Alligator mississippiensis: one gene and its partners. The protein of the gene in region 1 purifies or fractionates together with the protein of each later gene. This does not show direct contact. Links are inferred from orthologs where the notes say so. Each region holds a gene or a part of one and is shown on either strand. Other genes may lie near its edges.

Region 1 (9,192 bases):
CTGCTCCAGTGCCGCCTTGCCCTCATCCCACAGCATGTCTGCAGGGCAGAGGAACCAGGTCACCAGGAGAGTGGATGGAGGGGGTCGTGCCAGGGGCTACAAGTCATGCTGGGGCACCAAGGGGGGGGCACACAGGGTCCTGGCATGGTTCAGAGAGGACCCAAGGGTCATGCCATGGCACTGGGTGGGCACAAGAGTCACACTGCACCAAGCGGGTGGAGAACAGGGATCATGAGGACAGCACGGAATTCACACCAGGGTCATGAGGGGGGATAAGGGATGCTGTCAGGGTCTGGGGGATCCTGAGCCAGGGGTCACACCAGGGTTCCCGAGGGGTCTGGGGTCACACCAGGGTCTCCACTGAAGTGAGACTCACTGTACTTGATGTAGGGGTGGTCACGGGGCACACGGTCCAGGCTGACGTCACCCTCGTGGCGCCGCGGCACATCCGAGTCGGGCAGACGCGGTGAGAGTGTGATGATGAAGGCCTCCACAAACTTGATGGCGTGGGTGCGCACGCCATCATTGTCTGAGTCTAGCAGCAGGATGATGTCAGCCGCCATGACCGACACCATGTCCCAGCAGGCCTCCTGCAGCTCATTCAGCGCCCGTGACTTCACCATCCACTGCCGGGACCGTGGGGGGTGGAAACGGGGTGTCAAAGCCCCCAGGGGCAGGCTGGAGCCCCTCTCCGGCCGTGGCTCACACAGCAGACAACACCCTGCTGTCAGCTCCTACCCTCACAGCTGGGACCAAAGGGGCTGGGAGACCACCCCAGCACTCCTGCTGGGAGACGCCCCCCTCCCCCCTCAGGCAGATCCTACCTCTGAAGCACCCAACATTGAGAGGACCCCCCTGCCCAGGCAGATCCTGCCCCCCAGCACCCCCTGCTAGGAGACCCCCCCCCAGACAAATCCCACTCCCCCCAATCAGCAGCACCCTACAATGGCCATACCTGCAGTGCCACCTTGTAGAGCTGGGTCATGGTGAGGATGGCCTTCTTCACCACGTTCACGTTCTCATCCTTCAGCAGCATGTTCAGGTTGGCGATGAGCTTCAGCAGCAGCTCAATGTCACGCTTGCTGAGGGGTGGCAGGTTGGGGGGGTGGGGGGGGAGGCGTCAGTGCCTACAACTGCCCTCCTGCAGGTAGCAGGGTGAGCCTGGACCTCAGGAAAAACTTGGGCAGTGTCCGAGCAGGGAGGCAGGGGACAGGCGCCAGGACAGGAGGGACACTCAGTCACTGCAGGGCTTTGTGGGGGGGGCAGCTGCTGGTGTGGGGTGATCCAGGCAGAGTGATGCCCATGCTCTGCTCTGGGGATGTCCCAGGCTTCTGGGCTCTGCTGATTGTTGCAAGGGGCTGGGAGGGCACTTAACCCCCTTCCTGTTGTTGCTCTAGGTGTCACGGGGTTTTTAAGCCCCCCCACCCGGAGGTGCTGGGTGCAGGGCTGGGGACTGGGCTGTGCCAATGTTCCTGCCGGCACCATCCCCACAGGGTCCTGGCTGGAGAGTCTTGCCCCTGCACTCAGGCTCAGCCCCACGCTGCACTGGGGCAGGAAGAGATTACCCTCCTGCTCAGACCAGTTCGCACTGGGGGTTTTTGCCTTCCCCTGAAGCAGGGGCACAGCCTCGACCTCGGCTCTGTAGCATCCATGACCCCCTGGAGGCAGCAGGATGTTGGCAGCCACAGCCCCTCCTGCTTTCCTGAGGTCAGGGGTGGGGGTGAGGTCCATGCTGACGGCTGTGTTGCTCCGAGGTCCGATGCTGGGTTTGTCTGGGCTGGCTTGGACGGGGCTGATCCTGCCTCAGACCAGGGCTTGGACTAAATGTGACCTCAGGGGGGTTCCATCCACCCCCAGTGCTCTAGGATTAACCAGCCTCACAGCAGCTTCCCCCTAGACCCCTGGGACTTGGATGGAAACTGAGGCATGTGGTGCTTGAAGGCTGAGGCTGAGCCAGGAATCCAGGCTCCCAAGCCACCTGCTCTCTCCCCAGACATGTCCCTAGCCCCCTGCCCTCACTGCCCATGCAGAGCTGGGGTCTTAGCAGCACCTCCCCTCCTCCACCTCCACTGCCGTCACTAACGAGCATGCCAACCTCCAAGCCCAGACTGCTAGCTTCCTGGCTGAATTCCCAGGGGAATCGCAGCCTGGGTCCCCCAGTCCAGTGCCACTCGTCCCTTACCAAGCCTCCTCGATGAAGCCCACGACGAACTTGCGCACCTCCACGGACTTGTCAGCCTGGAAGGCGATGATCTCCTGCGCGGGGGGGAGGGTGCAGGGGGGGGCTGTTGGTGGCACGCGGGGGGGTGCCCAGAGCTGCCCAGCAGGGCCGCACCATGTGGGGGAGAGGGGGCAAAGGGCCGAGCTGCCAGCTCTGTGCTGGGCAGACACCCCACAACCCCGGGACAGTTGCAGGGCAGACTGGCGATAGCTGGACCCCCGTGGTACCCCCCGCAAACACACAGCGGTGATGGGGCCATGGGGCATGGACACGCCAGGCTCCTCAGGCCTGCCCAGGGTGCCTGGCGACTCACGTCCAGGAAGTTGTCCAGCAATGTGGGGTCCTTGTTGATGATGAGCTCCTGGACCTGTAGGGAGGGGGATGGGGACAGGGACAGTGGGGGGCGTTATACAGCCAGCTGGGGCAGGCACCAGTGCCACCCACTCCCCCACTGCACACGGGTCTGCCATGATGGGCTGGGGCCTTCCAGTCCGGGAGAAGGCCTAGGACTAGAGCCAAGGAAGGGGGGGGCATCTTCAGGAGAAGGAATACGAGACCCCCCTCACCCCCAGGTTGAGACCCCGGGCTCTTGTCCCCCAGGCCGGGGCGGCTCTCCACACACCTGCTTGAGGATGCTGATCTTGGAGTCATTGCCAATGAGGGCGGCCTGGTTCAGCAGATCCACGACCTGCCAGGGACAGGGGCAGGTGAGTCCCGGGCACCCAGAAGCCCTCCTGCCACCTCAAAGCTGGGGGCTTGCACACCCACCCCGCCCTCGCCTGGGGGAATGACCCTGCGCCTCCCCCGTCGTGGGTGCTGGCAGCAGCAGAACAGCAAGGGCTCCACGCAGCACCGTGCACGGGCACGTAGACACCGGGCCCTGACACCACGTGTCCTGCACCCCTGTGGCCGGGCAGGAAGGGGGGCAGACTGCACGCGTGCCCAGGTCCCCCAGGTCGGGGGGCCGACTGTCGCCCACACGGGCTGCCGCAGTCCCACGCTGCCGGGGATCGTATCGGAGCCCACGGGAGCGGGCCCGGCGCACCCGGAGCTGCCCGTGCGTAGGCCGGGAGTCCGGCTGGCTGGCACAGGCCCCCGGCAGAGCAGGCCGCGGGGCCCAGCCGCAGGCGTCAGGGAGGCACCGAGCCGGAGCCGGAGCCCGCGGCCGCGCACCCGCTCCGAGGTGGTGGTGCTGTCGATGCCGCTGCCCTCCTCCTGCGTGAAGAACTGCGAGGCCACGCTCATGCGGGCCGTGGCACCGTCCCCAGAGCTGCTGGTGCTGGCCATGGCGCGGGGCTGGCCCTGCGAGCCTCTCAGCTGAAGCTGCTAATGAACCAAACCAATTAGTGCCTGGCCCTTGCCCCGAGACCCCGCGCCCGCGGTGGAGCCCAGGCCTGACCCCCCAAGGCCCCCCTCCCCCAACCCGGGGCTGCCCCTGCCCCCACTATGCCCCCAACCCCAGCCCAGCCCCCCACTCCACACTCTCGCCCCCCAGGCCGCAGCCCCCTGCCCCTGCCCCTGCCCCCACCTCCACCTCACGCGCCCTCGCGCCCAGCGCCGCCTCCCGCCGCCATCTTCCGGCCCGGCCCACACACACTGCGCAGGCGCGCGCCGCGCTGCCTCCTGGGAAATGTAGTCTTCCCGCTCGCTCCTTTGCCCCGCCGCGCTGCATGCTGGGATCCGTCATCCGCGGAACTGCGGGGTCACGGAGGTGCCCTTTGACCCCCGTCTTCCCCTGCCGCGATTGGCTTGGACACCCTCCCCCCACTTTGATGCGTTCTCACCCTAGCCTTGACCCCTGACCCCAGTGCCTCTCCTGCCGCCAGCCCCTCCGGTGGCACACGTAGACTCCTGCACATCCCCCGCCCCGTGACACACGAGCCCCTCCCGTGGCACACGCACAATCACGCACACGTGTGCACCCCCCCACGCAGGGTGGGATTTCATGGCTGGCACACGCGTGCACTCGGGTGTAGACACGTCTGCTGGACGCACTCCCGCGCACGCCCCCTCCCTGGCAGCCCTCGCCCCAGCGCCGCGTTGTCTCCAGGCCTTGGCCCTCGGCTGCTCCCGCCGGCGGCAAACACAGCTGTCATGTCCCGGCTCCGGGCAAAGTCCACGCCTGGCGTCTGCTGGGGCACAGTGGGGGAAAGGTGCCTCCCGCCCCCCGGGGCCTGGGGCCGCCCCAGGGCTGGGGGCGCGGCTCCCCAACCCACCGCGAGCGCCGCCCACCACAGGGGAAGGGGGCCCGGGCACCCGGGTCCCCCCGCGGCCGCGAGAGGGGTGATGTCGAGAGCCCGGACGCCCGGGTTCTGTGAGCGGCACCGCCGCAGGGTCCTGTGGGACCGAGAGGCCTCTCGCCCCGTGCCTCAGTTTCCCCTTTCTGTGGCCTGTGTGGGCGGGGTCGGTGTAAGCTTGGCCCAGGTGGGGGCACCCTCACCTTGTGCTGGGAGAGGGGGAGCAGGCCCCAGACTGCCCTGCCCCAGGGCGGAGCAAGCAGGCAGGAGCTGGGGGGGGTGGGGAGGTGCAGCTGTATCAGTGAGGCCCTTGCAGCTAAGTGAATGAAGGCGTGCCAGGTGTGCGAATGTGCGCACAAGTGTGCGGGGAGGTACAAATGATGGGACACAGGGACTGGGGTGCAAAGCATGCGTGGGCACAGGCATGCAAAGCAAGAAGGGGTGTGCAAAGGTGTTCAAGGATGCAAAAGTGTGAGTGTGCACAGACAAGCGCGCAAAACGAGTGCGAGTGTGCATGGATGTCCAAGGGTAGGTGTGCAAAATGAGGGTGACTGTGTATGGGCATGTGAGGGCAGGTTTGCAAAGCAAGCGTGAGTGTGCACAGGTATGCAAGGAGAGGTGCACAAACCAAACATGAGTATGCATGGGTGTGCAAGGACAAGTGCCTAAAGCGGGTGTGGGTGTGTATGGGCATGCAAGGACAGGCGTGCAAAGCAGTGGTAACTGCATGGGCAGGCAAGGATGGGGGTACACACGTGAGTGAGCACAGATGTGCAAGGACAGGTGTGTGGAAGTGAATGGTGGTGTGCCCAGCTGTGCAGAAGTAAGTGTGAGCATGGCCAGGCGTGCAGGGGCGTGTGTGCATTGGGGCGTGTAAGTGCGTGCAAGGGTGAGAACAGCATAACAGGCACAGGTGTGCAAGGTGAGTGTGCATGAGGGCGGGTGGAGGTGTTCACTGAGCCCAAGCGGAGGGCGGGGGGAAGGCAGCAAAGTGCTCCAGCGAGCTCCCTCCTGCCCCCACCAGGGGGCGCTGCTGCCCCGTGGGGCAACTCCAGCGACTGGGGGAACCATCCGGGGGCATTTGCTCCAGTGTGGCCTGGGCCGGGGCCGGGGCCGGGGCCCGGGCCGGGGCAAGGGCCCGGCCGGGGGATTGAGCCCAGGGGGGCGGCGCGGCTGGCAGTCATGGGGGGCTCCGGGCGCTGCGGCCGGGTGGGGCCGCGTCCCACCGCCGCCACCGGCTGCTCCTTATCGGGCGTCCTTGGCCCGCACCTGCCCGCGGTGCCACCGGCTACTCATTAACCAGGACTTCCTGTTGGCCCGGGGGGATGCACCAGGAGGGGAGGAGGGCGCCAGGGCAGGGGGTGCCTGGGGGGCCTCTCCTGGCACCACAGGCACCAGTGTGGGCGGGGGGAAGCAGAAAGGGCCCGGGGCACTGGTGCCAGCCCCCCCACGCCGTGCCGGGGCCCCGGTGCCGGCCGTGGCTCCCCAAGGGCCGCGGGGCGTAGCAGCTCCTTCCTGCCGGCCGGGCCCGGCTGTAAAATCATCACAAACAGCTTGTAAACGTCGGAGGTGTTTCGGGCGGGCGGGTGGGGGCCGGCTCCGCACAAAGAGCTCCGTGTGCCAGCTGCCCGGGGGGCATCGATCGGGGCAGGGGTCTGGCCGGGGTCCCTGCTCGGCCCGGGGTGTGGGGCCCACAGCGGCAGGACTCGCTGCTGACACCAGGGGCTTTGGAGGCAGCGGGGTGGGTCCCGCAGGGGCGTGGGGCCAGGCACAGCCCCTGGGGTACTACCCCGCCAGGCTCCTGGCCCCTTGCCAAGGGGTCCGGTCACCTGCACCCCGCTTCGGTTGACCCGGGTGGGACAACATGGCTGCCCCGGGATGCAAGGGATGCTGGGAATATCGGGGGGGGGCGGGAAGGGTCGTGCCAAACAAAACGGTGGTGACAACTCTCCAGGCCCCAAGGGACTCTGGGAGGAAAAAGACCCCCCCCCGCCCCCCCCAGGATCATGGCTGCTGGTACAAAATGGCTGGTTGCGGGACCCCAGGGGATGGCAGGGCCTGGCCTGGCCCAGGGGGGCAGCTCCAGGACAGAAGGGACCCCCCCAGTTCGTGGGGGTGGCTTCCGGCCATGCTGCCAGGGTGCGGCCCAGCACTCGTTAACCATTAACCCCCGGGTTGGCTAAGCGCCGTCCTGCCCCCGGCTGGTGCTATCCTCCCTGCCCCTGGGCCAGGCCGGGGCCGGCACTAGCTGGGTTCGGTTCCGACCCGGCCTGGCCGGAGCTGGGCTCCCCTCCCCGCCTGCACGCACAAATGTGCGGCCGGCCGCACCAGGCGCTGTACGCACCGGAGCCAAACACAGACTCCTGCTCCGGGGGGCTGTGGGGGGCGCAGCTGTGGGGCAGCCTCAGCCCAGAGGTGCCCCCCACCGCCCCTGCACCCTGGCTGCTCAGACCCCCCCAAGGCAGCAGGGATGGAGCAGGGCCTGGAAACCCAGCTCGGGTGAATCAACGCCGCCTTCTTCTCCCCGCGCCCCCCCCACCCCGGGGCCGTCTCAGTGTCCCGCTGTCTCACACCTCGGGAGGAAGCTGGCAGGGCGCACAGGAACACCTTTATGCTCAGGGCCGGGCCGCGCTCCCCACCGCCGGCCCAGCGCCCCGGCCACAAAGGCCCGAGTGTTCGGAGCCGTGCCCCCGCCCCGCGCGCGCGGCCGGCCTGGCAGCCCCTGGGCCCCGTGTTGACTCAGGGATGTATGGATATATATAACCCGCCGGGCGGGCGGATGTTTTCAGGGAAGCCGCGAGGATGTGAGGGCGGCTGCGTCGGCAGCGGCCCAGCGCTGCACACACGGCGGCTTGTTCCCCCCCAGCCCTCGCCTCTGCTCCAGGGCTTTTTCCCAGCTCAAGGTGTTCCCCAGCCCTTTCCCGGAGCCGTGGGGGCAGGGGTCCCGGCAGGGGGCAGGTCCTTGCTGAACCCGAAAGGAGCGGGCTGGTTGCCCCCTCCCAGTAGGAGGCGCTGTTCTGCCCCGTGCCGGGGCAGTAAGAGGTACTGCCTCCCCCAGCCACGCTGGACAGACATCCTGCCACGTGGATGAGCGGGATATCACCAGCGTTGCCAAACCCAGTGGGGCTTGGGGGCTCCCCCCCCCGTGCCCCTGCTCCGCTTTACGGGTGGAAGGTGGGGGTTCCTGGGGGGGGAGGGAGGCGGGCGGTGACGGGGCCGGGGTGGCAGTGACGGAGGCCGCGGGCACTGGGAGCTGCAGCCGTGTGTGCCGGTGTCAAAGGGGCCATTGTAGTCTCGCCCAGAGCCGTGGCCCCGGCGCGCCAGCCGCGGGGCGAGGGCAGGCTGTCGTGCCCTCCTGCTGGTTATTTATAACCTCCAGCAGGTATTCCACGTCCCCAGCCCCCCCCCGCTGCCCGGCCCGAGCAAAACTCACCTGATCTGCCTGGCCGTGCCCATGCCAAGCCCCCGGGAAGCTGGGGCTGGGCTGCCTGGCGCTGGCACGGCCCCGCCACCTGCCTCCCTCCAGATGCCCTGGTGTGGAGCACAAGGGAGACCCCAGCTGGGCCCTGGGGTTGGGGTCACGGAGCCCCCTCTGCATGCCTGGCAGGCGTGCGAGGGTGTGAGGGATTATGCCTCCATGTGCACACAGGCAGCTACATGGGTGAATCTCAGCATGCCCGGGACTGGGTTTGTGTGCATGTCTGGAATAACATGCAAATGTGCAGCTGTGTGATGAGATGTGTGTGGATGTGAGTGTAAGCCATGTGTGTGCTGAGCAGGGTGTGACAACGGGGGTGGCTTTGTGTGATGGCGTGAGCATGCAGACATCCCTGGGGAACTCGGGGTATGCACATGCGCACACATACACACACGTGTATGTGCCCGGATGTGCATGAGCACATGAGTGGGATTACAGTTGTGTGTGACTGCATGGAGGCATGCAGATGTGTGCATGACCACGTGCGTGTGTGTAAGCCCACATGCCTGTCACTCTATGAGCGGGTGTGTAGAAGCCCACAAGCGTGTAGTGGGGCCACTCTGCACAGGTGTGTGTGCACAAGCACGTCCATCTGTGAGGCATGGCACCCCAGCTGCCAACCCCATGGCCCGTGGCAGCCCCAGGGGTGGGCATGGGGAGCTCCCTGGGCACCTGCTGGGGCTGGCGTCGTCCTGCCCCACAGATCCGGGGCGGACCCGGGCGGGCGGGTGGTGGGGCTTGATGCAGCTGGCTCAGGCGCGCCCCAGGGCTTGGCTCTGTCCCCATGGCAGGCGGGGCCCGGTCACACGCAGGTTCCCTGGGGAGCGGGGCCAGGCGTGTCCGGGTCCCGGGCGTTCCCCAGGATCCCTGTGTTTGCCCTCGTGCCTGCGGGGAGGGGCCTGGCAGGGAGCAGTCAGCTGCGGCTGGGAAGGCCCTGGGGCACAGAGCCCATGGGGCGGGGGAGGATGGGGGGGCATTCCCACACCCCCCTTGGATAACTGTGGAGGCAGGGCAGAGACATGGGCACCTCCACCACTGTCCTGCCCTGTCCCCCCCAGCTCAGACCAGGAGGGAAACTGGGATGACCAGCCCAGGGCTGGGGTGGGGCACACACTCTGGGAGCTGCATGTCCCAGGGGCCTCTGGGCGTCCGTCATGGTGTCACAGCACAAAGAAGGTCAGGAGTGCAAGTGTGGACGACTGTCACTGTCCCGGGGCCTCTGGGCACCTATCATGGTATCACAGCACAAGGGTGGG
Region 2 (10,012 bases), on another chromosome or scaffold:
TTCAACTTTCTGACCTGTTTTGACTTTACAACACTTGATCTGACGCCAAGCCATGCCAGTGAACAAGTTCACTGCGTCACCCATCTCCCTGGAGAACATCTGTCCAAACTTCCTTGGACACCTTCTTTAAGAAAGCAGACAAGACTCCAGAAAAACCTGCAGACAAGACTCCTGAGAAAACTACAGACAAGAACCCTTCAAAAAGTCCAACCAAGAACCCTTCAAAATGTCCAGCAAAGTCTCCTCAAAGAAGTCCTTCCAAATCAATATGATTGCTATTTACAATACAAATACATTAATGTAGCTATATTACTCATCTATAATTGATTGAGTACAAAATTCTGGGTTATTTTTGGTGAAAACAGGGTATCAGGCCTTGGTTCAGGAACCAATCCTCCATTAATAACATTGTTTCCCATTGGGGAGGGAGGGGGAAATCGGTTCCGAGTAACAACGTTTCAACTTAAGACACCGTTTTCAGGAACCAATTGTCGTAAGTCTGAGGACTGCCTGTACCTCGCAATGAAGGGCACTTGCACACAAGCGTGGAGGAATTCCACTGTGTCAGAGCAGACTTGATTAATCGAGTCTGCTGAAGCAGGGCAATTACTGCGTACCAACATTTCACATATTAGCATCCCCACTCTTAAAAGTGGCAGCGGGGGTGCCTGAACTAAAGCTCATTTGAGGAGTGTTAGTTCAAGTGCCCCTGCCACCATTTTTAAGCACAGGGACACCAATACACAAAACAGGGCACCACTTTAATCAGAGCAGCTTGGAGTGCCACCCTCCTCCCCCACCACCAGAGCATGTGTAAAAGTGCCTGGAGGTACTAAAATTTAATTTTCATTAATGCACTTTAGTTCTTTTGCTTCCAATATGGCAGAACAAAACTGGGCGCGTCTACATGTGCATTAACTACTCTGCTGCAGTCAGCCCCCCCCCCCCCCCCCCGTGCAGCTAGTTTTGTAATAGACAGGACAACTAAGGGGTATCACTTACACAGGCCAAAACTAGACCATCTCCCATCTTGCACAACACTCAGATTGGCTGTAAAACAGAAAACTGCTATCAATATTTACTACAATAGATAGTAGGGTGGAGCAAATCATTGAGAGATAGAAAGCGAACAGAGGAAACGAATTACAGCAGTAACGCCAATTTGGACAGGCCTAAATAAGCCATAGTCATAAGTTCAGTTGTGATCTAAAGGCTAAATTTACCCTTGGTGCTGGTGAAGAAGCCAAGCTTAACTTGGTTACAGCTCTAGGTGTGAATTTAGGAGTCTGTTCACCCGCCCTCCCGTGGAACATCCAGACAGCTTCTACTCTGGGCATGTTGCACCCTGGTGGGACATGACTAAAAGCACAGAGCACAAGCTCCACAGGCCATGGTAGGTACGGACAAAGCATTTAAACCAGGGCAAGAGCTGTGCCATAGAACAGGGTGAGCCATTTCAACACCCGCCCTTGGAAACTGCTGGATCTTTGCTAACAACAGCCACTCGCACAGTTCCGACTACCGCAGTTCATTGCAGCTCAAACTAGAGCTGCCCAGCCCTGCAGCAGCCTGTAACAACATTTTGTCTGGTGGAACTGACAAGAACCCTGGAGGACCAAACAGCAGACCAGGAAGGCTCCAATTTCTCTAGAGCTTTTACTAGTGATAGCAGATTTCCCAGAAATACTAACTAGGATTCCCTGGGTAATGGCATCCAAGTACCTCATTAAGGTCCTCCAGCAATAATCCCTCTGAAGGGGAGTTCAAGGAGCAACAAAAATGCTTCAAGAGAACTGAGAAGAGGGAAAACTGGGCCAGCTAATAAGGCAGGAGAAAAGCAGGAATGAGGAACAACATAGGGAGATTTTTTTTTTTTCCCCTGTGGAAATTTTTCGTGTTTCAAGCCAAATCAGCCAGATCAATTCCGAATCCATGAGTCAGTCCAGAACCATAAGTGGCCCCACAACTGGCAAATGTTCCCCTACCTCACCTGGGGCATCAGATGCTTTCAAATCCTTTGGTGGGAATCCTACGTGCAGGCCTAACCCCGGAGGCTTGGGGTTTGGAGGCCCCCAAGTTTTGCTTGCCCTCAGCCATATGGCCCCAGGAGCAAGCTAGCGAGGAGTCTCCCGTTTCCATAAAGTTGGCATAAAACTATATTACCTCTGCAGGTACTACCCCCACGCCAGGAAAACGTTATCCCTGGGTGCAACTAGGACACCACCTTGATGGTCATGGCGTTTCCCCTGCCAGGTAACACCTGAGCTTCCCTAAGCACCACAGAATTTCTCATTTAAAAAAAAAAAAATAATAAGAGAGAGAGAGAGAGAGAGAGAGGTAGAGAGAGAGAGAGAGAGAGAGAGAGAGAGAGAGAGAGAGAGAGAGAGAGAGAGAGAGATCTCCCAGGCCAAATTAGCCAAAACCAATTCCAAATCCAAGAGTCCAGAACCATAAGTGGCCCTACTACCAGCAAACATCCTCCACCCCAACCTGGGGCTTCAGATGTTCCCAAAACCTGGAGGCTTGGGGTTCAGATGCCCCGAGATTTGCTTGCCCTCTGCCATAAGGCTCCAGGGGCAAGCCAGGGAGAAGTCCCACATTCCCATAAAGTGGGCTTAAAGCCAAGACCTTTCCACTCCAGCAGCTAAGTGGGAGGTTTACTATACATTACCTTGGCAGGTGCTAACCCCATGCCAGGACAGCAGTCTTCCCCGGTGTGGCTAGGAAGACCACCTCCACAGTCACAGTGTTTCCCTTGCCAGGCAAGCAGACTATGCTTGATCTGAGCCTTCATGTTCTTCCGTGAATGAAATAGGGAGATAGGATTCTCCTAGAGATCCAAATCCCATGCCAGCCCCAGCGCTGCCTGCTCTCAGGGCAGAGTCAGCAAGGCCAGCAGTGGCCTGACAGCAATGCAAGTGGTCCCACCCCAGCCCAGCAGACAAGGTGTTTTCTTTGTTCTCCCCTCCTATTCTTCTTCTTCTACACCCCTTCCCACCCCTCACCTCACTAAGGAGACCTGTCCTACCGAGGTTAAGAGCTCTGGGCAGGGGCTTTATCTAGGCAGCACCATGCAGGCACCCAGCATGGAGCAAGCAAATAATGAACGTACCTTTTATTTATGGGGGGACGAGACAGGACAGGGACAGGATGACGGGACTCCCTTGTAGCTGATCCCAGGCTAGTGAGGAGAGCTCTACCCAAACTCTAGACAGGCCCAGAGCCTGCCCATACACCATAATCCTTTTTCACTCCAACAGAGAGGAGCCAAAGGAAGGCTCTCTCCTCCTGTCCACACCCAACCCATGTTAACAGTGGGGCCAGAGATCCTAGATCAGTGCACTCAGCCCTGTTTAAGATGCAACACTTCCCTAGACCCTCTGGCATCAGTGTCAAACCCCTGGAGACAGCGTCTTCAGCATCACTTGGTCCGAGGCAAGTTAACTAGACTGAACTCTGGCACTGCCCAAAAAATCTGTACTGGCTCCATCAGCAACCCCAGGGCTAGGAGCTCGGTGCAGCTCTGCCGTTCCGAGACTGGGCGCCGTGCTTGTCCGCAAGGGCCTTCCTTCTGTTAGTAGGAGAGTCCCACAAGAGACACAGCACTGCCTTGCTACCCCCACAGCCACAAAAGACACTGCGGGGGACAGGACAGGCGAGGGGCTGCTCAGGTACATGGAGGGGAACGCCTCCCTCCCCGCCACCCCGCAAAGAGGTTCAAGAAAGCCATCCCCTCGGCCAGTCGCTTCCTGCGCCATCCCCCGCGGCTCTCAGGGGCAGGGTGGAGGCTCTGGCTCCTGCCCCTGCGCTAGGCAGGCTGCTGCCCCGAGTCCGTAGCAGGGCGCCAGGCATTAATTGGGACTTCAGCCCAGCGCCCGGACTAAGGTAGAGCAGACTTCGCTCCATCTTCTGTCGCGGGGTTAGGGGCTCGCAAGATGTTCGGGGAACTCGGCGCGGGCGGGACACAATCCACACAGTGAAAGCTTCCTTCCTACCGGCAAGAAGCGTCTGTCCCTTCCCGTCCCGTCCCGTCCCGTCCCACCCCCTCAGCCGGGCGGAGCACACCCACCCCTTCCCCAGGACGGCGGGTGGGACCGGCGGGCAAGGTCACCACGCAGCCCCGGCTCCGGGCCGGCGCCTCCACCCGGGCGAGGACGGGACCCGCCGCTCCGCCCGAGCGGGCGGGGAGCAGCGGCCCACCCCGAACACCGCCCCGCAGCAGCAGAGCGCCCCGCCCTGCAACCCAGCCCGCGGGGCACCAGACACTGCCCGCTCCCGCGGGGCCGCACGTGGCAGCCCCGTCCCGGCCCCCGCCCGCCTCGCGCCGCCGCCCCCCACCCCGGTACCTGGTCAGGGCGTCCGCGCCCGGCCCCGCCGCCAACGTGTGAACCCACGTGAGGGGCCGCCCTTAAAGGGGCGGGGCGGGGCCGGGCCGAGCCGCGTCCGCCCCTCCCCCGCCCCACCCCACCCCACCCGGCACGTGCCGCCCGGGCCCAGCTCTGCGCGGCGCTCACCCGCGGGAAGGCCATGCGGGCGAGCGGGCAGTCCAATCCCAGCGCCACGCGCCGCTCGGCCCCGCGGGTTTTATAGGCGCCGCCGCTGCGGGCCCGGGGGGCGTCGCCAAAGGGCGGGACTCGCGGCCCCGGCGCCCGTCGTTCCCCGCCCTGCGGCCGCCCCGCGCGGGGCACTTCGCCGACGCTCCCTCAGGGGCTGTTAAAGGGGCCGCAGCCTGGCATCCGCTCCCCGCCTCCGCCCTGCAGCGGCCGCCTCCTGTTTCCCAGACGCGTGTTGAAGTGTGGGGACATGGCGGGCTCCCGCCTGCGAAGGCGGGGGCACAAAAGTGCCTTTATGAAGCCCTTGGCGCCATGGGTGCGCTGGGTGGCTGCCCAGGGCCCAGACAGAAAGGGGGCCTAAAAATGGTGAAAACAATGATTATTATGAAAATAATAATGATTATTATTAGAGGGGGCCCATACTAACAGCTCACCGGGGCCCGCCAGGCGTGCAGGCGCGCTGCTGCTTGGGACTGGTCGCAGGGTTGCCAGGACTTGGGCAGCGAGTCGCCGCAGACGGGGCCGTCCGGGCAGCTGAGACTGGTGTAATTTTCTGACCGCCTCGCCAGAGCAGGGGCCGGCCGCCAGGGCAGGGGTCTCAGCCTTGCTTGCACCAGGACCCATTTGTAAACGTCCTGACCCATGCCCCTCGCTCCCAACCGGCTGCCCCCAGCCCCTGTGTGTGGGGCGTGCCAAGCAGCCCCTCGCAGGCTGGAGCGCTGTCTGCTTGCAAGGGAAAAGCCACGGTTTCCCACATTTTACTCCTTGAATAGAGAATCCATTTTTAAAGGTTGTTCGTGACCCTGCCATATATTCCTGCCACCTGCTTTTGGGTTGTGACCCGCAGGTTGAGCAACACGGCACTGGGTTTAGCTCTGCCTGCTCCAACAGGTAACTGAATCTCATGTGGTTTCCCATGAGCATTTGTTTCATTGGATTCGGTTGGTCCTTCCCGAGACAAAATCAGGCTGTGCAAGCAGTCCGTTGTCCCTAAAATGTCCTATCGCTTCTTATGTTGCTGGTTGGTTGTGTACTGGTACAGGCATCATTGGGAGGCATCTCAAGTGCCATGTTGTTCGGCTGCAAAGGACAGCTGTGCATAGCACGATGCTTAAAATGCTGGCATGGATGCCCTAGCACTTTTACTACCGCTAGGAAATGCTAAAGTAAAAAAAAATCCTAATGTGAATAAGACCTGTGTGTAGCCCCCGGGGGTTACAAGAAACAATGGCCACAAGCTAGCAGAGAGCAGATTCAGATTGGACATTAGGAAGAACTTCTTCACAGTTCGAGTGGCCAAGGTCTGGAACGGGCTCCCAAGGGAGGTGGTGCTCTCCCCTACCCTGGGGGTCTTCAAGAGGAGGTTAGACGAGTATCTAGCTGGGGTCATCTAGACCCAGCACTCTTTCCTGCTTATGCAGGGGGTCGGACTTGATGATCTATTGAGGTCCCTTCCGACCCTAACATCTATGAATCTATGAATCTATGTAAGGAGAAAATCATGGGCAGGTATGGAGATGTGGGGAGGGAAAGGGAATGCAGGTGCTCTGTCAAGCTCCAGCCGTCACATAAACTCCACGCAGGAGACAGTGCTCATGGGAGGCAGTATAGATATTAGAGTCATGGTCCTATATATTCCCTTGTCTCCTTGGGCTCATCACCCCTTTCCTGGGATACAAGTACACTCAGGGCTCTGCTCTCATGAGCTTGGCAGCAAAGGGGCAGGTAGTGGGGGAGGCACTACCCACTTGGTTGTAGTGCCTAGATGAGCATCATTCACAATACATCTTCATCAGGTCATCCTCCCTCTCCTCTCTGCCACCTCCTGCTGATCTCAGTGAAAGAGTCCACAGTGTGCTGACATTTAATGTGGTATTGCTGGGTGTTTGAGACAGCCCCTGTGTGAAACAACAGGTGTGTTCACATCCTTCAGAGTGCTGGCTTTAGGTATCGCTGCATCAGTGGCACTTGGTTCTTGTGTGCAATGGCCTCTCTGCAATGAGAACAGCCAGAGAGGTAAGGGTATTTCCTTTTCCTCGCAAAAACTTAGATAATTGGAGAAGCAGAATTTCAGGCTTCATAAAGAAATGCCAGTGCCCCCTCCCACCATGTAGCAGCTCGATCTGAGCCCACCGCAAAATAATGCATTACCACACAGTGATGACGGGGCTGCAGGTCTGCTGGAGCAGAGCTCCAAGGGGACTTGGAAATCAATCTTTAATGTGCAAGAGCCACCCAGAGACTCCAAGTGCCCCAGGCAGCAGCTTTGCCATTGACTTCACCGAGACTGGGAAAACCCCCCAGATGGGAAAGTGCATTTGATCTCAAAGATGCCCCAGGGAGAACTTCCAAGTCTCTCAGAAACAGGGTCTGTTTACTTTTCCTATCCCTAATAACTCCTGTGAGCTTTTCCTCACTCTCCAGGGTGATGGGTTGAGCAGGAGGGTTTCTCTGTCATCTTCTATCAGGGTTGCCTGCTTGCTTCTTCAGCAGTGAGGCAGGGCAGGTTGCAAACTGTGATTGTTCTGAGGGCAGGGACTGAGACTTTACTGCAGGAGCAATGAGATGGGCAGAAGCAGAGTTGAGCAGAGGGAGCAGACGCTCTTGCTAACACAAAAGGCTGCATTAATAGCAAAGGGAACCCCCTAGTTTATTTTATCAGGGCTGACCAGCTAGGAGGTATTCCCTCTGGGTAAGGAAAGGCATTCTAGGAACACACCGGAATTGGCACGGCTTTCAGGGGCCTCGGAGAAATTGCATCATTTGGGGGACAGAGAGACGTCTGCTGCCATGTCAACGGCTGCCGGGAGGAGAGAGAGACACAAGGGGGGAATTCTCAGCCCCAGTTCAATTTAATGAGGCTGCTGCAGCCTGGTCCAAACCCATGATGTCACTTGAAAGAGGTGTCACAGAGATGGTACTCCAAGGCAATTGCAAAGAGCCTCTCCAGAAATGCAAGGCAGCATAAGAATGGATGATGTCAAAACACAGAGATCAATGAGGTTGCCCTGCAATTCCTTCTGTTTGTAGCATGACACTTCAAGCTGTGCTTGGCTGAAGCCTTCTGAGCTAAGTATTTGTTGAGAACCCATCATGTGCTGCCGGCATACTGTTGTTGGTTCAATAAGAGGCGCTCTTTCCTCTCTGGCATAGAGCCATACCTCCAGCAGGGTGTCCAGGGCAGCATTTAGTGAGCTATAAAACTGAGGTCCTGGCTACTGGACATCATTCAGGACTTTCAAGGAGTTGGGTGCTCTGAAGAAGTCCCAGCTTGGTAACTCCCTCCTCTGATGCCGATGACACACAACACTCTTCTCCTCTGTTTCCTCTGGTTAAGTTCTGGATTTCAGGCAGTGCTTCCCATGCGGACAACAAGATCCTTGTGTAGTTTGCATGATGCCTATTTGCGTGGGTTGAAGAGGGTCATATGAATGTAGGATACTTGTGTTATCATCAACACATATAATATCTTCATACATTTCATAGATATTAGGGCTGGAAGGAACCTCGGAAGATCATCGAGTCCAGTCCCCTGCCCCAGGGGCAGGAAGTCATTAGGGGTCATAGGATCCCAGCAAGATAAACATCCAAATTTCTCTTAAAGGTGTTCAAAGTAGGTGCTTGAACCACCTCAGGCAGCAGTCTATTCCAGACCTTGGGGGCTCGGACAGTAAAGAAGTTCTTCTTTATTTATGTCCAGCCTGAAACAGTCATGACTGTTCGATCTTGTCATCCCTTGGGGTGCTCTGGTGAACAGATATTCCCCCAGATCCTGGTGAGCACCCCTGATAAACTTATAGGTGACCACCAGATCACCCCTGAGCCTGTGCTTTTCCAGGCTAAAGAGTCCCATAGCTCTCAGCCTGTCATCGTAAGGTCTGTTTTCCTGACCTCTGATCATGCGTGTGGCTCTCCTCTGGACTCTCTCAAGCTTCTCCACATCTTTTTTGAATTGTGGAGCCCAAAACTGGACGCAGTACTCCAGCTGCGGCCTCACCAAGGTTGAGTACAATGGGAGAATGACGTCCCGGGATTTGCTTGAGAAGCATCTATGGATGAAAGCCAGCATTTTGGTCGCTTTACTAGCTGCAGCATCGCATTGAAGGCTCATGTTCATCTTATGGTCAATCATGACCCCCAAGTCCTTTTCGTCCATAGTGTTAGCCAGCGTAGCACTGCCGAGCCTATAAGGATGCTGCAGGTTTTTCTTCCCAAGGTGGAGAACCTTGTATTTTTCGGTGTTAAACACCATCAGGTTCTCATCCGCCCATTTGCTGAGCCTGTCATGGTCAGCCTGGATCGCCCTCCTGTCTTCAGGTGTGGATGCTTTGCCCCAAAGTTTGGTGTCATCGGCAAACTTGGCCAGTCCACTTCTGATACCAATGTTCACATCATTAATGAAGATGTTGAATAGTGTTGGCCCAAGGACAGAGGCTTGAAGGACCCCACTGGTCACAGCGCACCACGATGATTAACTTCCTTCAACCACCACCCTCTGGGTCCGACCACGGAGCCAATTCCCCAGCCAGTGGATCGTGGTGAGGCCAAGGCCACAGTTAGCCAGGAATCTTGTTGGATTCCTTAGCAGTTTCCTATGTTTGTACACACACTGGCACGCGCCACAAACCTAGGGAATAACAACAACAACAACAAAAACAACAACACTAAAGCAACAATGATGCTGATGGTGAGGAAGGAAGGAAGGCAGGCAATTTGCCCAACTATAGCATCACCTGTCTGCAGACAGCCGAGTGCCAGACAGCCATGAGTGAGCAGTGCCTCAGACCACAGAAAGGTATCTTTATTTTCATAGTCCTTATGGAGAAACAGACACAGAGAGAAAGGAACTTGTCCGAGGCCACAGAGCTATTACCTGGCTGAGCTGCAGCATGGAGCTGCATCTCCTACATCCTGAGCTCATGCTTGAAGTATGAGACCATCCTCCCCCTTTGCTGCAAATGAATATTCAGGTGGATATGACACAGCTAGCTTGGGAATTCACAGCATATGCTGGGGCCAGGACTTGCTTTATCTATTTAGTGTCCATCTGTTCATAGCCCACATAAATCCTTCACCACTAGGACTCTAAGGAGCAATGTACCTCCTCCTTATGAATTGCCCTGCGTAAGGAAACAAGGATACAACTTCTGGACACCGTGGGGCCTCCCTTCCCTTCATCTGTGACCCCATCCCACTCCAGCCCATGTCCCTCCCCTCAAAGCCCACCCACCCTTCCTAGCGTACACATTGCCACTTTGAAGACGTTCCTCCACTCCTGGGGGAAGCCACGCTTCCTTTTCCTACCCTCCCCATTGGCAGCTGGTGTGCCCTTTAACATTGCTTTAGGCTCCATGTCTGGAGCTGCCCATTCCCCTCAGCTCTGCTTTGGGTTTCTGTCATCTTCATGGTAGGCCTGAGAAGCAAGGGAAGGCAGGGCTCTCTGGCTTGGTGAAGAGGTG
Region 3 (10,002 bases), on another chromosome or scaffold:
AACGGCAGCCACGTGTGGGACACGGTGAGCAGGGCGGTCGCTGCCCTCCCCAGCCCGGCTGGAGCCACCCCGGGGCCCCGGTGCCCAGCCCAGCTGGTGCTGACCCCGGCTGTGTTCCCCAGGCCTGCCTGAGCGCCCAGGACCTCCTGGAGGTCTACGGCTTGGACGCACAGACGGGAATCTCCAGCCAGGACTTCTCTCGGCTCAGCCCGGCTCTGCTCCAGCAGCAACTGAGCGGGGCCTGCTCTGGCCTGCCCGCGGGCTCCGGCAGCAACCGCGACGGGCGCCTGAGCGTGGCTGAGAGTGAGTGCAGGGAGCCCGGGCATGGGAGTTGGGGGTGGGGATCGGGCCCCGATCCAGCCTCTAGTGGCCTGATCTGCTCTGGGCCCCTGAGTTAGGGGGCTGCTGCATGTCCCTGGTCACACGGCCAGATGCCAAGGCAGGAGACCCCCCACCAGGGCAGGGGCAGGGGCAGGGGAGAAGGAGCAGCCCCCGTGGCTGACGCCCGCTGTCCCCAGAGTACATCTACGGCTCGCTGGCCACGCTGGTCATCTGCCTTTGTGCCCTGATGGGCATCGGCGTGCTGCTGTGCACGGCCTGCATCAGCACCTACCAGTACGTCATCCAGACCTTCCTCAGCCTGGCCGTGGGCTCGCTCACCGGCGACGCGCTGCTGCACCTCGTGCCCCAGGTGAGCGCGGGGCGGGCGTGGGGTGGCACGTGTGCATGCAGGTATAGGCACCGTGCTGCATGGTGCGTGCCGGAGGAGGGGGGTGTATGTGTGTGTGGGATGATACGTATGTATGCATGTATATGTTGTGTGGTGTGTGCTGGGGAAGGGGGTGCATGGGATGGCGCACATATGCACAGGTTTAGGCACATGATTGTGTGGTGTGTACTGGGGAAGGGGGGTGTATGTGTGGGATGGCATGTGTGCACACATGTAAACACACATGACTGTGTGTTGTGTGCCAGGGATTGGGGGTAGAGTATGGGAAGGCACATGTGTATGTATGTATGCACGTGGCTGTGTGGTGCGTGCTAGCGAAGGGGTTATGTGTGTGAGACAGTACATATGCTTGCATGTATATGCACATGGCTGCATGGTGCATGCTAGCTGGGGAAGGGGTATGCGTAGGATGGCACATGTGCAGGCGTAGGTGTGTGTGTGCTTGCACATGGCTGTGGGAATGTGTACACGTGGGCATGTGATCTGCCACCCAGTGTGCAAGGCAGGACTGAGGGTGAGCGCAGAGCAGCAGAAGGTGCATCTGTTTGCCTGTGCGCATGTATGTGGCTGCCTGTCTGCACCCAGGGCTGCGTGTGCCTGTACATGTGTGTGTGTGTGCAGCGTGTGAAGTGGGCTGAGCCTGCATGGGGGGGGGAGGAGTGCACACAATTGGACGCCTGTACACGTAAGTTTGCTGCCATTTGGCCCGCGTGCAAGGCAGATGCATGTGCCCGGGGGGGTGACGGAGGGGCATGGCACACATCAGGTGTGCAAGGGGTGCTGAGGCCAGCCCCTGCCCCATCTTTGCAGTTCCTGGGCCTGCACTCGCATGCGGACGATGGCCACGGGCACGAGCACGGCGCGGCAGTCGCAGGCAGCACCTGGAAGCTGCTGGCCGTGCTGGGCGGCATCTACGCCTTCTTCCTGCTCGAGAAGTTCTTCAGCTTCCTGGTCCAGGCGGAGCACCAGGTGCGGGGCTGGGCCATGGCGGGGGGCGGGGGGGCTCGCCCTACAACTCGGGGCTCACAGGGCAGCAGGGGCCGCTGTGCTGGGGGGTCCAGCAGGGGGCGCAGTGCTGTGGGGTGGGGTGCAGCAGGGGGTGCCCCCTGTGCCCCGCAGGCCCCCTGGTGGCTGCACAGCAGGGGTGGCGCGGGGCAGGGGTGATGGGTGCTTGTTGCACGCAGGAGTCGGCCGGGGGCCACACGTGCGACCACGCCATGTCGCTGCAGCTCTACCAGGATGAGATGAGGCGGCGCAAGCAACTCAGAGGCGCCTCGCAGACCGACCTGGTAATGCCCTGGAGGGTGGGAGCAGGGGCACGGGTTGCCCCCCAGTCTGGCATGCCCCCACGGACATGGTCTGAGCCTCCCAGGGTCAGGCCAGCAGGGGCGTGGATAGAGGGGCATGGATTCAGTGATGCCTGCCTGGGACTTGGCCCCTCGGGTTTGGCCGTGGGGCAATGCCCCTGTGCCCAGAGGGTGTTTGGAGCGTGGCACACACGTGTGCAGCCAGCTTGTGCGTCACACCTGTCCATGCTTCCATCCTGTAGGTGCGGGCGGAGGAGGCCTGTCTGGGCAAGGCCAGCAAGGAACAGTACAGTCGGGGTGAGTGGGGGCCCCGGGTAGTGGAGGGCAGCAGCTCGGGGTCACGCGTGCCCGCTGACATGCGTGCACCCACACACGTGCGTTCACATGCACATCCATGCTTGTACACACATGCGTTCTTGCACATGTGTACATGTACCTGGACACAAATACATGCACGTAATCTGCCTCCTGCACATACACATACATGTACACACGTACACTTATGCCCACACATGCACCCTCACGCATGCACACACACACACAGGCTTGCGCACAGAGGCACCAACACATTTGTTGCGGGGGAGGCTGCTGACATAGCGATTTGCAAGGCCCAGCCCCTGGTGCAATGGGTCTAGGCCCCAGGGGACGACGGAGCTGCTGGGGCACTGGGGCAAGCACGTCCCAGCCTTGCCCTGACACCCCGGTGCCCTGCAGAGCTGCGCATGATCCCCTACATGATCACCATCGGCGACGCCATCCACAACTTTGCGGACGGGCTGGCCGTGGGCGCCGCCTTCTCTACCTCCTGGAAGACCGGGCTGGCCACCTCGCTGGCTGTGGTGTGCCATGAGCTGCCCCACGAGCTGGGTAAGGGGCCAGGGAGAAACCCTGGGGCCTGGTGGGGACAGAGACCCAGAGACCCCAGCCTCAGTCAAGGGCTTCATCCATCCCTATGGGACCCAGCCCAGGAGCCCACCCGGGGACACCATCCATCCCTATGGGACCCAGCCCAGGAGCCCACCCAGGGACGCCACCCAGCCCCATGGGACCCAGACCAGAAGCCCACCCGGGGACACCATCCATCCCTATGGGAAGCAGCCCAGGAGCCCACCCAGGGACGCCACCCAGCCCCATGGGACCCAGCTCAGGGAGCCCACCCAGGGACGCCGCCCAGCCCCACGGGACCCAGCCCAGGAGCCCACCTGGGCATGCTGCCAAGTCCCATGGCAGCCATCCGAGAGACCCCAACCCTGGGACCCTGCCCAGCCCCGTGCCGCACAGCCAGGCCCTGACCCTAACCCTGTTCCTGTCCCCGCCCGTGCAGGGGACTTTGCGGCACTGCTGCACGCGGGGCTGAGCGTGAAACGGGCCCTGCTGCTGAACTTCTGCAGCGCCCTCACTGCCTTCCTGGGCCTCTACATCGCGCTCTCGGTCACAGCCAGTGCCGAGTTCGAGGCCTGGATCTTCACCGTGGCCACCGGGCTCTTCCTCTACGTGGCCCTGTGTGACATGGTGAGCAGCGGCCCGGCTCCCAGGGCTCAGCGGGGAGGGACAGAGCCTCAGTCCTGGGGTGCTGCTTAGAGCCGAGAGCCCAGGACAGGGAAGAGGCCATGGGTCGGGAGAGGCACTGGCAGGGCTTGGGGGGAAAGGGGACGTGGGTTGGAAGTGAGGGGCACCAGCAGGGCTGGGGGGCAGGGGCTGCAGGTTGGGAGCGAGGGGCAGCTCTCACGCCTCTCTACCCCTTCGCAGGTGCCAGCCATGATGAACGTGCAGGACGAGCGGCCCTGGCTGCTGTTCGTGCTGCACAACGTGGGGCTCGTGGGCGGCTGGGCCGTGCTGCTGCTGCTCTCGCTCTACGAGGAAAACATCACGCTCTGAGCCCCCGCGGGGGCAGCAGGGGGCGGCACGGCCACGTGGTGGCCACGGGCAAGCTGGGAGCCGTCGCAGGACCCAGGGGACAACACGCACATGTGTGTGCATGCACGCACGTGTGCACGGAGCATATGGGACCTGCTGTATTTATTTAATTTATTCCACTGCAAGTGGCAGCACCGCCCTGACACCTCTCTCCCGCCCGGCCCCTGTGGGCACTGTCCTGCCCGGCTCGCGGCACAGGGACAGGGACGGGGACGGGCGGGGGCACCGGCTGCACGTCCTGCGACCGAGGAGAATGAAGAGTTTTCACTCAACGCTGTCGTGGAGAACCCGGGCGTCCGGGCCCAACCCCCAGAGCCCACGTGGGCACAGAGCCAGTACTGCCAACCCCGCCGTGCCAGAGATCATGAGACAAACTTAAAAAATAGATCGACCTGTAAATCATGAGGTGCTATTTTTGAAGTGTGTGCGTGCGGAGGGGGGCGGGGGGTTGTCGGTGGAGGTGTGGGGGGCTGTGGGGGGCTTGGAGCCGGGGGGCAGGATGCGGGGGGCTGTGGGCCACGAGTGTGGAGCAGACAGACACGCAGCGCCCAGCAGGGACACGGAAGAAAGGGGCAGGGCAGGGCAGGGCAGGGCAGGGCAGGGGTGAAGGGCCCCAGGGCTGGGCGGGGGGTCCAGAGGCGCGTGGGGGCTGCATGGGGAGATCCAGTCGGAGCTACTTTGCCCCTGAAATCCCGTCTCACGGCGGTTACACAACAGTCCACCACTGAAACCCCGGGCGTCCGGGACCGGCATCCGAGAGCCCCCGTGGGCACAGCACCCGTGTCATGCCCGGCCCCCCAGCCCCCGTGGGCACAGCTCTCCAGTGTCCCGGCCCGGCCCCCCCAGCCCACGTGGGCACAGCTCCCGTGTCCCGGCCCGGCCCCCCCAGCCCCCGTGGGCACAGCACCCGTGTCCCAACCCCACAGGGCCCACGTGGGCTCAGCACCCCAGTGCCCACATGGGTGCAGCACCCGTGTCCTGGCCCGCGTCCCCGGAGCCCACGTGGGCGCAACTCCGCAGTGTCCCAGCCCAGCACCCCCAGAGCCCCCGTGGGTGCAGCACCCCAGTGTCCTGGGAAAGACCCCCCAGCCCATGTCAGCGCAGCACCCCCACCCCACGTGGGCGCAGCCCCGCAGTGTCCTAGCCCGGCCCCACACCCCACGTGGGCAGAGCACCCCCGCGTCCCGGCCCTGCCCCTCACACCCCACGTGAGCGCAGCCCCAGCGCCCGGCCCGGCTGCGTCACACTCCAGCCCCGCCCCTTGCTCCTCCCCCTCCCACTAGGGGGCGCGGCTAGATCTGGCGGACTCCCCTCCTCTATGATCTCTCGCTACCCGCGCGGCGCGGCCCGTCTAGCCAGCACTTCCGGGTTACAGTTCCTCGCTCGGGGAGGCGTGGCTAGGCCTGGAGGACCGCCTTCCGCAGCGCGCTCTATGACCCCGGCTTGCGCCCCGCTCGCTGCCGCTCTAGCCGGGTACTTCCGGGTGTCGGTGGCGGCCGGTTGGAGGCTTCCGGCGGGTGCATGAGGCGGAGGTCGGTGCTCCCGGGAGGGCCTGCCCGCGCGGGGGGGAGGGGCAGGTTTAGGCAGCTGGAGGGGGTGTGGGGGGCTGGTGTGGGCAGAAGGCGGGGCAGTTATGGGGGGAGGGGCAAGTCTTGGAGTGGGGGAGGGGTTGGTCTGGGGGTGGCGGTGCTGGTGCCTGCAGGGGGAGGGGCTGGTGTTGGCAGGGGTCGGATCCGGGGGGTGCTGAGGTGAAGCAGCTGGTCTCGGGGGTGGTGCTATGTGGGTGCCCCCGCCCCTGGGATCCCGGCCCCTCCCACAGATCTGGCCGCCTGCCCTGCCCCCACTAGCCGGACCGCGGATTGGGCCCCCCTAGCACCATCCAGCTGGGCCGGGCCCTAACTCTTCCCCGCCCGGGGGCCGTGTGGCCAGGCTGCCCCCCAGGTGTGGCATCCGGCGCCCTAGGGATTGACACCCCCACGGATGCGCTTCGCTAATCGCCGTCGTGTAGCCCTGCTACGCGTGCAACAGAAGCTGCGTAGAAACCAGTGTCGGGAATTGTTACATATTTTCAAGCGCCCACTTTGTGGCTGGACGTCCATTTTTATGTCATGATTACTTTGCACGCGTGGCCGGTCGAAATGTACTGTGCGATCGCCCGCTAACTGCATAATGTACGCAACCTAACAGGGGCCTTCTTCAGGTGTGTAGCGCAAAATCTGCCTCCTCGAGCACCTTGACGCAGCTTTGCTGCCGGTTGTTTGCTCACCGGCGTTAACGCGAGCTCCCGGGAGCTCAGGTTTGTAGCTAGAGCTGAAGGCAGCCTGCGGGGCTGCGAAATGCATGAGAGACGTTACAGAGAGCAGCCAGCAGACATCGCTGCGGGAGGAAGGATGATCGCGTGAGAGCGATGTTGTAGCAGCGATGGTCCAGACGTTATGTGAGAGGCAGGGGGTTTTTCCAGGCGATGTCTTGGGTTGCCCCAGCTGGGTAGTTGGGATAGTGTCAGGCAAGCTTTCAAATGCAAAATGTTCTTCATCAGGAGGAGCTGGCGGCGTGAAGAGAGATTAGCAGGAATCCAGGAGGCGATCATAAGCCGTGACTTGGGGTGGGATAGCTGTGCGCGCAGGTGCGGGCTGGGGAGTGGCGCTGCGGAGACGAGGCCGGCACAAGGCTCCTGCTGGGCTGCACGGACACCTGAACATCAAGGGCAGCGATTCTCCACTCTGTGCAGCCCTGGGGAGGCTTCCCCTGGAGCCTTTTTGTCCAGGTCTGGGCCCCTGCGCTTCAAGAAGGATGTGGGCAGATTGGAAAGAGTCCAGAGCAGGGCCGCAAAGACGATCAAGGGAGACGAGACTGCTGAGAAGGGGCTGGGAGAGCGAGGGGCATTGAGTCTGGAGAAGAGAAGCCTCGGAGGGGGATTTAATCACAACCTTCAGATACCTGGGGGTGGGGATGGGCTTCTCTCTGTGGCCGTTGGGGACGGGACTAGGAGAATGGCTTCAAGCTGCAGCAGGGGAAACAGGCTGGGGATGAGGAAAGCGCTGATGCTGCGGGTGGTTCAGCTGCCCAAAGACATGGGGGAATCTCCGTCCTTGGGAGCTTTCAAGAGCCGCTTGGGCAGACACTTGCTGGGCTGGTCGAGTCGGGGACAGTCTGCCTGGAGCAGGGGTCAGACTGGATGTGACCTGCCGAGGTGACAGCCACGTGTCGTTGCAGGGCGGCGTGCATGGGAGCCAGCGGGGATGTATGCGGTGTACAAGCAGGCGCACCCCCCCACGGGGCTGGAGTTCTCCATGTACTGCAACTTCTTCTCCAACACTGAGCGCAACCTGGTGGTGGCGGGGACGTCGCAGCTCTACGTCTACAGGCTCAACCATGACTCTGAGGTACCCCCTGCTTGCAGCCATGCCCTGGGTCTAGGGAGGCCTGGCGCTAACCCTGTGCCCTGTTTGGGCACCCAGCCCTCTGCTGCAGTTCAGGGCAGGTGGCTTTTAGGCACCTTTGAGCACTGAAGGGGCTGAGTCTGCAGGTGGGGGCAGTGGCTCATAACCCCAATGGAGCCGGCTAGCCTGGTGCAGCGCTGTGCTTGAATTGCTGCACTGCTTCTGGTGCTGGAGCCGGCTCGAGGACCTCGGAACGGCTCTGCCTGGCTCCCCAGAGACGTGCCCTTAACTCTGCACGCAGCCTGCGCTGAAAAGTGCTGCAGGAATTCAAGCGTCGATAGAGACCCAGCTATGCCCTGCCCTGCAGCAGGAAGCCCCCTCATTCTTGGAGGACTCTCCTGGACCTCTGGGCTCATGGTCCCGCTTCTCCTTTGTGGTTGCCTGCCAGTCTCTGCAGGGGAGCTGCTGGGGTCTAGTTCTGCCTCGGTGGCTGCCTGAGATGGGCAGTTTCCCTGGCTGTGATGGGGACGGGACTCATTGGGAGGAGGAGGGCTGAGCGCTGCAGCTCTGCTCTAGGACCTCGCTTCTGCTGCAGCTGAAAGGCTTTTCTGCTCCAGGGCTGCAGCCCTGGCACTTCGGTCCCCCCCTTGAGCGCTGAGCTCTCCCTCTGTGGGCATCAGGGCATCGTTCCCTTTTGTCAGGGTGGTGGCTGCTGCTCTTGCTGAGAGGGAAGGGAAGGAGAAAGCAATATGCCTCTCACCCGCAATGAACCTGGGGAGTGGTACGAGGCTGCATGGGGGGTGCTTACCTCTCTGAACCTGCGGCTGATGCTTGTGCTCTGACTGACATAATATTTCACAGGTGCTGGCATTGTACTTGCATCACGTCTTGGTGTTCCCAAGGGGCTGAGGGCAGGGGCGTTGGCAGAGCCGTGGGTCAGACCTGAGGGGTTCAGCTGAGGCCATGAGGCTTCAGGGCCAGGTGCGGGGGGGCAGGTTGGGACTGAGAAGCCCTGGTGGGGGATAGGGGGAGGCTGTGAATGAGTGTCGAGGGGCAGACTGGTGTGAAGGGGGCGGCAAGGCCATCAGCCAGCCCTATTCCTTCTCCTCTGTGGTCAAACTAGTCGCCCTCATGCTGGGGACGTTTCACTCCCCGCTTTTTGCCCCGGGGGGAAAGCTGGCTGCCTGGGCTGTGGGGAGCATACCACAGAGCTCCCCGTGCTGCCTGTAGGTCCTGATGCAGCTCTTCCTTCTTTTCCAGACCTCGAGTAAAGGCGACAGGAACACAGGTAGGTGAGCGGTGAACACAGGGCAGGCTATGCTGCAGCGGCAGGGGGGGACCATGGCCTCCTGGGTCTCTGCTCCCTGGGGGAGGATGCAGTACCAGAACGGGGTGAGCGTGAGCCCTGTGTGTGGAACCCAAGAGTGACAGGAGCACCCCAGCCCAAAGCCCAGGTTCTCACTGCCCCGTAGGGTGGAGTCCAGCTGGCTCGGTTTGAGGTGGGGAGGTCTCTTAGTTGCAGCCGCACTAGAAAGCCAGATGGCCTACAGGCTGGCGCCCCTGACACAGCCTGATCAGGGCATTTCCTCTCCTTCCCAGCCCTTGAGAGGGCTCCTGGCTCAGGGCAGTTTACTGTTTCCCTGCTGTCCTGCAATCAGGACTCCTGCTACCGCACCTCCCCAGAGGGACTACCCATGGGACAGTGTTGTGCTGAGCTTAGCTATATCCCCTTTCCCTCTGACGTGCAGCAGTTCCCAGTGCTCTGCCCAGGGCCTGTCCTCTGCTGGTTCTTGAGCTGGCCCTGTTGGGCAGTCCTGAGCATAGGAAGAGGAGAAGTGCGGGCTCCAGCCGATAGCCATGTCTGGCTTGGCTTGGCCCCAGCTAAAGCAGGCAGGGGAGAGTCTGTGGGGACACAAAGGGAGTCAGCCACAGGCAGGGCAGGGTGGGGTGGTCATGCTGCCTGGGGAGGGCTGTAGATTGGGGTGGAGAGAGAGAAACATGGGCTCCCATTGTTGCCTTCAGCCTCTCACTGTTTCATCTGAGAGGTCGTGAGGCCCTTGGGATCAGGCCAGCCCTGCCTGGGCTCTGGTCCCTGCCCCCCATTCAGGCCCTCCCCCTCTCTGTCTCTGCAGAAGGCAAAGGCCACAAGGAGAAGCTGGAACTGGTTGCGTGCTTCTCCTTCTTCGGCAATGTCATGTCCATGGCCAGTGTGCAGCTAGCAGGAGCCAAGAGGGATGCCCTGCTGCTCAGCTTCAAGGATGCCAAGGTGACTCCCAGGTGGTGGGGAGGGACCAGCTGTCTCAGCAGGATGCATCACAGCGGGGCTTCTCCCCCAGGCCTTCACTGGGGCTTCGGTATCCTCAAGCTTCCTCAGTTCTGCAGGCTGGGGCGGGGGCTGCAGGGCAGGGGTGAGGAGCACACAGTCATGGGGGGACTGTGTGGAGCAATGTCTCTAGCCTGTCTGTGCCAAGCCAATGCCCCAGCTTGGTGCTAGGGGCCTCTGTGCCACAGGCTGCTGTTGGGAGGCACTCTCTTAGGAGCTGCTACTACTAGACCTGACCTGAGCCTGGGGGATGGCACAGGTCCAGCATGGGGCATTGCTTTCTGCCCCCTCCCGGATGGGTACGTCCCACCCAGGGCTGCTGGAGAGATGCTGCCTTCTCCA

What was found.
Region 2: the proteins of SYMPK (region 1) and CPEB1 purify together in Homo sapiens (affinity purification with mass spectrometry; 3 studies listed by BioGRID and IntAct, counting the BioPlex papers as one, with this or other methods). This does not show direct contact. The link is inferred for Alligator mississippiensis from reciprocal best matches to the Homo sapiens genes SYMPK and CPEB1.
Region 3: the proteins of SYMPK (region 1) and CPSF1 fractionate together in Homo sapiens (co-fractionation; 5 studies listed by BioGRID and IntAct, with this or other methods). This does not show direct contact. The link is inferred for Alligator mississippiensis from reciprocal best matches to the Homo sapiens genes SYMPK and CPSF1.

The regions. Positions count from the first base shown.
Region 1 is NC_081838.1:441,794-450,985, forward strand, and holds the start of SYMPK (symplekin), read right to left. Parts: upstream 3,924-9,192; 5' UTR 3,909-3,923; coding exon 3,750-3,908; intron 3,548-3,749; coding exon 3,395-3,547; intron 2,910-3,394; coding exon 2,844-2,909; intron 2,589-2,843; coding exon 2,535-2,588; intron 2,257-2,534; coding exon 2,183-2,256; intron 1,083-2,182; coding exon 956-1,082; intron 627-955; coding exon 377-626; intron 39-376; coding exon 1-38. UniProt on the Homo sapiens protein: Scaffold protein that functions as a component of a multimolecular complex involved in histone mRNA 3'-end processing. Specific component of the tight junction (TJ) plaque, but might not be an exclusively junctional component. May have a house-keeping rule.
Region 2 is NC_081834.1:46,026,595-46,036,606, forward strand, and holds the start of CPEB1 (cytoplasmic polyadenylation element-binding protein 1), read right to left. Parts: upstream 4,621-10,012; 5' UTR 4,530-4,620; coding exon 4,515-4,529; intron 4,416-4,514; exon of another isoform or gene 4,347-4,415; intron 1-4,346.
Region 3 is NC_081826.1:1,524,923-1,534,924, reverse strand, and holds the start of CPSF1 (cleavage and polyadenylation specificity factor subunit 1), read left to right. Parts: upstream 1-5,382; 5' UTR 5,383-5,486; intron 5,487-7,170; 5' UTR 7,171-7,196; coding exon 7,197-7,340; intron 7,341-8,597; coding exon 8,598-8,625; intron 8,626-9,469; coding exon 9,470-9,603; intron 9,604-10,002. Other genes in the region: SLC39A4 (zinc transporter ZIP4), read left to right, coding at 1-24, 123-303, 519-691, 1,541-1,699, 1,915-2,019, 2,280-2,334, 2,752-2,904, 3,362-3,549 and 1 more. UniProt on the Homo sapiens protein: Component of the cleavage and polyadenylation specificity factor (CPSF) complex that plays a key role in pre-mRNA 3'-end formation, recognizing the AAUAAA signal sequence and interacting with poly(A) polymerase and other factors to bring about cleavage and poly(A) addition.